Linked DNA regions of Struthio camelus. The protein of the gene in region 2 interacts with the protein of the main gene of each other region in a biochemical or structural test. Links are inferred from orthologs where the notes say so. Each region holds a gene or a part of one and is shown on either strand. Other genes may lie near its edges.

Region 1 (3,750 bases), on a different chromosome or scaffold from region 2:
CATCCACAGAGATTGTCCTTGGAACCCGCATACTTTAAAAGCCCAGCACTTGCTGGCCCCCTCTATACAGTGCAGCGAGCGAGCCTGAGTCACTGAGGCCAGCGAGCACAGAGCAGCCGATGCCATGCTGCTTGGCCCCCTCGCCTCCTGAGTGAGGTGGCCACAAGCAGATGGTCTACTGACAACGGCCCATGGTCTATGCTAATGCCTGCCGTCCCCACGAATTGTCTGAGCAGAGCCAAAACTGTGCCAGGGCCTGTGCTGGAAGAGTCCTGGTACACACCATTAATTTCTATGCCTGCAAATGCTCCCTGGTCCTGTTTGGTTTGCTAGGATGGACATAGCCAGCGTGTCAGGCAAATACAATCATTTTCCCGTCACGGGCCGCAAGGCTGTGAACATGGTTGCTCAGGATTCACTCAGTTCTTAGCATGAGACACGACAGCGATTCCACGGCCTGCCTTAAGCTTTCCTCTCCAGAACAGGGATGACCAGACTGCATGGAGGCCTGACCAGGATGATCTGTTTTGTGGGAAATACACTGAAGAGCCTGAGGACTGGTTCTGGGAGCATGTAAAAGCGCAAATACTCTTTCCACATTTGGTACTAAGTTCTTCTGTTAATGTAATGACCTGATTTTGATAGTTTGTATCAACACAAAATCAATGTTTCATGGAACATCGGCCCTGAAGTTATAGACATACCCACAGTCACTCAAATGTTTGTATGTGCCTAAAGTCATATTAGTGTGTTCATACATATGTATGTCTATACATATGTAATGCGTGTAAGTTTATAACAGATAACATATGAGATAGAGTAGATAGTGCACCAAGTCCTCATCTGGTCCAACTTTGCATAGATCTATTTTGATGCCTCTGGACTTACAGCATTTTAAATCACTTAAAGATCTGGTCCTCTATGGTCTGATTTTGGACATCAAATTTTCAGAAGTTCCTAAGTTCCTAACCTACATAAATAAATAAATAAGTAAATAAAAAGGTATTTGCCAGCTGTCGTTCACCATGAATTCAGATTTTGAATGTGTAGTGTACCAATGTGCCTTTGCAAGCTTTTTAAATATTTGTGTTGGGGCAGTCTGAATATATCCCACAATGGCCTACTTGACATTCAGGAAGGCTAGGGGATAACATTTCCCAAGATGCTCATGTAACATATGAAATCTAAGCCCCACTGAAAGTCACTAAGTCAGATTTTCCAAACTACTTATGTGTCTAAAAATGCAGGCAGACACCTGTGCAATTCCGCAAAAGTACTTAGGCAGGATAAATGCTGAATTCCTCTCAAATCCATCAGGATTCAGAAAGTACCAAAAAACCCTAGGTATTAAGATTCCTCTAAATACGTACAGCTGAATCACTTAGATGTTTTTGAAAATTTTACCCAGCATAATCGAGTAGAATGGTTAGAATCCAAAATCTTAAAATAATAACATCTGAAAGATAGTCTGGATAGCAGCCACAGAGAGTCTGAAACTAAATACAGAAAAACAAGGCAGCAATAAATGTTTTCCTATTTAAATATGGAGGTATGGAAAAGCACCATCTATAAAATAAAAGCAAGTAAAACATTTGCTGAACATATTTGAGAGAAGTAACTTGCAAGTAATAATGACTATTAACCCTTAAGACAGGTATCCAACCTCAACTGGGCAATGATATGATACAAGGGCTCATCGTAATTTGCTTTCCTTGTTGGTTTCAGTTTTAAATTAATTTTCTATGTCTGTGAGCAATGTCTGATGATCTCAAGTTGCCAAAGCCAGACAGCAAGGCAACACGGTCCCCAGTACTTGCTTGTGTAAGGTAACATCACTTAAACATAATGGATTAATCGCATATTCAGCAATTATTGGAAAACAAGCTGTATGATTTACAACTGTCTAATGAGGCCCAGAAAACATCCAGCTAAATATAGGAAGAGGGGAATAATTCTTACTTCACTAGCATAGCTAGCACAATGGGGTGTGCAGACTGGCTTCTAATTTTCTTCATATTTAGCAAATCAGAGAAATGAAAGCTGAAAAAATGACTAGTCTGAGCATGTATCTCATCATCACATTCCTTTTTAAGCTAAATCCAAAGGCTAGACCTGTTAAGCATGGCAGCTGAATTTATCTAAAAATGTAAGACCTAGCAGCCACCAGTTTGTTACCCTAAAGAAAGATGAGAGAGTAAAGACAGGGGCTGATTTTTTTTCCCAGATGTAATTAGGGTACATAGCGCAGAACACTTGTGATCGCTGCAATGTGCCGCTGCAGGTCACTCCTGTACCAACGCAAACAGCCAGGCGCAGACCCACTCGGCTGTTACATATATCGGTTGTGACAGCCCACTGTAAATTCCTACAACAAAACTAGATCTTTTCTGTAAAACAGCTAGGTAGTCTTATTCCCCCATTCACACCAGATGCCCATTGACCAGTAGTTTTGAATGACCAGTTTGACCACTTTGCAATTTTCAGCAAATGGTGCTGTAATAAGGACTAGAAATACGAAGTTGATAATGCTTAACGGAGAGTTCATCCTTCCTTCCATTGCTGTATTATGTGAGAGAAAATGGCTGACATACCCCATGGCGATGTTCATAGTAAGCCAACTTGGACTGGGTTAAGACAAAGAAGCGCACTTTGAAGTTGGAGGGAGACGTCCTTCTCTTCTGCTGGGATTTTTTGATGAGCTGTTCCTCCAGGAGCACACAGTTATTCATTGCTGAGCCAAGAACAGTCCTCTCCCAGGACATGGGATGCCTGCCCTACGCGCTGAGCACCCGTCCAAGACAGAGAAACAAGAAGGAAGACAGTTAATTTTTTTAACAAAAAAGGTGTTCATAAGGCAGCGTAGGTGCTTTGAGCTTTATCTTCCCATCTACAGCAGGCTTCCTTTCTGTCAAACCATAACCACATCCTCTCTGAAGTCATAAACCGAACAGCACATGCTGAAATATCCTCTAAGGTAAATGTTGTGGAAAAAATAACACTTCAGCGACATTCAACAGATGTGAGTCAATGATCAAGGATTAATAAAGAGGTGTGGCATGATTAAGCATCTGTCTCCTACTTGTCCATCCAGTAAATACAGTTATAAATGCATACACTGAACTTGAATGTATAGGAGAAGTGTCTTTCCTGTCCTCTTAGAAGTAGGTCACACATCCTTTTTTGTTTTTTTTACGAAAAAAAGTATTTTGAGGAAATTTCTTACATAACATGAAAGTTCCTAATATGTAAGCAAAGGCAAAAAGGCAGTTCAAAGCAATTAAACCTACTACCCATATAAAAAATCATATCCATTATATATTTTTACAAGGAAGGATAAATACTTACAGTTGTTAGATATTTAATCTGATAGCAAACAGTTATAATAACTGATAACTAATTAGTTATTATCAGTTACTGTTTACTGATTGCTGTCTGCTTCATAGGCACTCTAATTAGTCCAGAGCTGAATGCTGCGAGAAACACAGGCACAACATACACTCTGTGTAATCAAGATCCCTGTCATCAGCAGCAAAGTGAGCAGAAATACCAAAATAAGTGCAATACGTTTCCTCAGGACTTCACTGCACCATTCTGGACAGCCTGCAGCAGCTTAATTTTAGAATTTTAAAACATGTAAATATTTTAAATATTTTAAAAAAACTCAGTAAAAAAACCATTTGTTTTAAAACAAATGCAATAGATTTTCCTCTGTTCTTGCATTTTTAATATTTTGTGCATTATTTTATCAGT
Region 2 (3,750 bases):
CCCAGTCCTGGCATTGCTCGCCTTCCTCAGGAGAACTGAATCAGTCACTGCTCTTGGTTAAACCTAACTGAAAATGGTCAGCTTGACTCCAGCTCAGACTCTTTACCCTGGATCAGACCATGGCCAAGTGGGCCCTGTGCCAATCAAGGGTAGATTTCAAGAGTGGGATGAGCCAGGAGAGAAATAAGTCAATGCATTTGTCATATAAAACGCCATACGTGGAACACATAATTGCCACATTTCTTATGAATCTATACATCCGGGGTCTCCCAGGCATCCTTTTTACACCCAGAAAGCACATTCAGATGAAAATGGGGAAACTGGCCAAGTGTTCGGGATTGCTGGGCAACAGGACACCCTTTCTTCTGGGTGCTGGGAGGAGGAGGGAACTAAGGCCAACAGCTAAGGTGAGAGGAGGTAGGTGCAGAGAAGAGGCCATGTGTAGAATTTGCCAACGACAACAAAGTTGCTTTGCTGGGCATTAGTGCATCTGGCATCAGAGACAGCTTGGGGAGGAAGAAACCTCTTTACGGTGACATCTTATTGCTATAGTACCACCCATCTCGACATGTCAGAAAACACACGCCTTGGGAGGGCTGCGCTCAACATGGGATGTGAGGAACATGCTGGGGACCATGAGCACAAGGCCACCAGGGCCAACTCACCAACAACTTTCTGCTACGATGTTTAAAGGGACATAAGGGAACGAGGTGTTCAGTGACCACTGACTCTTATTTTTCATTTGCTAGAAACACATGGATTGCCTTTTTTTGATTACCTCGGTCCCTGGAACTTGTTCTCTGCTTTTACTGGTCTGGTCTTCACCCTATGCACAGCACAGTAAGTCCTCACCGGCAAGACATTATAAGCATTGTTACTACTACAGTTTTGGTGCAAGAAGTTAAAGTTCTCTAGGTTTCTCTAAAATTAAGTTTTCAACATTTACATCTGCACATGGGAATAATCACCCGTGTACAGGGCAGCAGGTACCAGAGCCCCTCCAGGGGTTCTTCCCTCACAGGCCCTGGTCCCCCACTGCCACAAAATGCAGCATCTTGCCAGCAAGCTAATGCTTTTCCATATTTTAAAAGTGACTTAAATCCAGGGCAAGCCATGCCTCAGGCTCCTCCCTCTTTCTCCCACTGCCTGAAAGCTCCTAGAGGCCACCCTGAGAAAGGTATGGAGGAACTTAACATCCCACGATGTTAATGGGGCTGGGAAACCTAGGCGTCCTCCAGATCCGCCTGGAGGAGCTGTTGGGGAGAAGCTGGAAGACTCCAAGGGTTTTGAAGCAAACGAAAGCCCCAGATTGGACACACTAGCATTTGAGGTCCTGCTAAAGAACTGTGTCCATCATTTCCACGTCCTCTCTTCATCTGAGCCCTCTGGTAACATTAAATATTTCCAGCCTTTCCACCCTGGGCCAGCAGAAGTTAGCAGAGGACAGACGACAACCTCCATCGAAGCTGCACTGTGCCTCAGTCACATCCCTTAACGCGCGGGATGGTGCTAACGCACGACAGTGACGGCACCAGGATTTACGTCACCTCATCTTTGTGCGTGTCAGCTCTTCCTCTCCTCCAGAGCCAAACTAGAGACAGTGTCCTCAGACTGGTGCGCATGGGGGTGCAAAAGGTAACTTAAAAGAAACAGCAGTAAGCTAGGAAACCAAAGCAAGAGGTTAGAAGTCTCCTGGTGTGGGGCCTCCCTTCTCTCTCTCCCTTCCCACCCGTCTTTGTGGTTTTATACTCACGTTTCTTATGAGTCTTTTCTCCTACCCTCCTCGTGCTAAAGAACCACGTCGCCCACGGGAAGCCGAAGCCAGCAAGCAGCTCCGCACACATGGCCGCAGACGGGCCTGGACCCGCCACGCCAGCCCTGACCCCGCATCAGCCTTCACGGCGGCACAAAGGGGCGAGGGCAGGAGGCAGCGCTGACCTTACGGGGCGTTTCGGTGCACTTTCTGGCGTTGGGTTTCTTTGGGTTTTTTGTTTTTTTGGGGGGGAGGGGGGCTGTTTGTTTAATTTCATCCGTTGCTCTGAGGTGTAACCCCCACGGGGCTCACACGGCCGCTGTTGCCTCCTCCCGGTGCGCCTTACCCGGGGCAGAGGTGCCGGCTCCTCCGCGGCAGCCGGCGGTGCACGGCACCGAGGACGGTGCGGGAAGTTTCCACCCGCCGCGTCCCGGCAGCACCGGCGGGGCCGGGCCCGGCGCTCGCCCGCTCCCGCGCCCCCCCCGGGCCGCCCCGCCCGGGTCCCCGCCGGGGCAGGACAGCGCAGGGCAAGGCGGGCCCCGGCCCCGGCCCCGGCACGGGCGAACCAGGAAACCTCTCCCCCCGCCGCCGCCGCCGTTGTTCCCCCACTCACCGGCGCCCTCGAGCTTCTCGGAGCCGCGGCTCCAGGTGACCTGCCGCGTCTCCAGCTTCACCTGGAAAGTTTTCCTCTCGGGCCGCTGGGATTTCTTGGAGTAGAAGAGGGTCATGACGGTGCCCACCTCCAGGCTGCGGCAGAGGTGCGCCGCCTCGGCCTCGCTGGGCGCGCCGGGGCCGCTGCCCGGCCCGGCCGCCATTAGCGCCCGCCGCCGCCGCGGAGCCGCCGAACAAAAGGGAGCGGGAGCGCCCGGAGCGCCGCCGCCGCCGCCGCGCTCAGCGCCGCCCGCCGCGCCCCATGCCCGCCCGCCGCGGCGGCCGGCGGCCAGGAGGCGGGCGCGGGGGCAGGGAAGGGGCGGCCGCGCCGGCGGAGCGCGGCCCCCTCGCGGTGCCGGCGGCTGCGCTGCTCCGCTGCTCCGCGCCGGGCCCCGCAGCCCCGCGCCGCCGCCGCACAAAGGGGAGAAAGGGAAACTGCAGGCTTTGGCTTTAGCACCCCCTGCTCCGACGCGCGTGGGGTCCTGGTGAGCCACGCACCGCGCCGCCTGCCCGGTGTCCCAGGAGGGCCGCGCACCCCACGGCGCAGCGCTCGGGCGTCCCAGCGTGCCGCGCACCCCACGGCACTCCCAGGCTCCCAGGTGTGCCGTGCACCCCACGGCACGGCTCGCATGGGGTCCCAGCGTGCTGTGCGCTCTGCAGCGCTTGTGGGGTCCCCGGAGTGCCATGCTCCCCACAGCGCGGTGTGCTTGAGGTCCCAGCGCACCCCGCACCCAGCAACCCACGTGGGCTCCCAGCGCTCCCCGGCACGTGTGAGGTGCCAGTGTGCCGTGCGCCCCATGGCACAGCACACGTGGGGTCCCACGGCACGTGTGGGGTGCTGGCGTGAACCTACCAGCGCGCCGGTGCACAGCCAGGAGGGAGCCAGCCGAGCCCCCCGCAGCCCCCCACACCTCGCGTTGGCAGCGGGCGCTTCTGGGGACGCGAGGTGGTTTCCACCCTGCCGCGCTGCGAGGGGTCGGGCGGGAGGGTTTTGTGCTCCCTCCAGCCCCAGGGGGGTCCAGCCCCGCGGCTCCGCTCCCGGCCTCCGGCTGCAGCAGCGTCCTCCTCGCCGGTCCCGGCTCGTGGCTAGCGTTGTCCGACGCGGCGACGTGGGGCTGCCCGGCGGTCCTTGCCGCGGCCTGCCGACGGCCGCTCCGCAGGGCCGCGCAACTTGAGCAAGACTGGCTCTTTTGGGGGCTAAATCAGGTGAGGGAGGCAGTGCAGGCCGCTAGGTGGGCGCAAGGTCTCGCCCTCGCGGCCGGCAGACGGGCGAGCGCCCACCGCTGCCTCTGGCCCCGGGGGGCCGGGGCAAGAGCAAGGCCGTGCCCCAGCGGCGGGGGAGCCGG

What was found.
Region 1: the proteins of PLCG1 (region 2) and ITK form a complex in vitro, tested with the Homo sapiens proteins (2 studies listed by BioGRID, with this or other methods). The link is inferred for Struthio camelus from reciprocal best matches to the Homo sapiens genes PLCG1 and ITK.

Annotation. Positions count from the first base shown.
Region 1 is NC_090954.1:11,276,943-11,280,692, forward strand, and holds the start of ITK (tyrosine-protein kinase ITK/TSK), read right to left. Parts: upstream 2,830-3,750; 5' UTR 2,763-2,829; coding exon 2,592-2,762; intron 1-2,591. UniProt on the Homo sapiens protein: Tyrosine kinase that plays an essential role in regulation of the adaptive immune response. Regulates the development, function and differentiation of conventional T-cells and nonconventional NKT-cells.
Region 2 is NC_090959.1:7,247,898-7,251,647, reverse strand, and holds the start of PLCG1 (1-phosphatidylinositol 4,5-bisphosphate phosphodiesterase gamma-1), read right to left. Parts: upstream 2,656-3,750; 5' UTR 2,569-2,655; coding exon 2,367-2,568; intron 1,860-2,366; exon of another isoform or gene 1,845-1,859; coding exon of another isoform or gene 1,754-1,844; intron 1-1,753. UniProt on the Homo sapiens protein: Mediates the production of the second messenger molecules diacylglycerol (DAG) and inositol 1,4,5-trisphosphate (IP3). Plays an important role in the regulation of intracellular signaling cascades.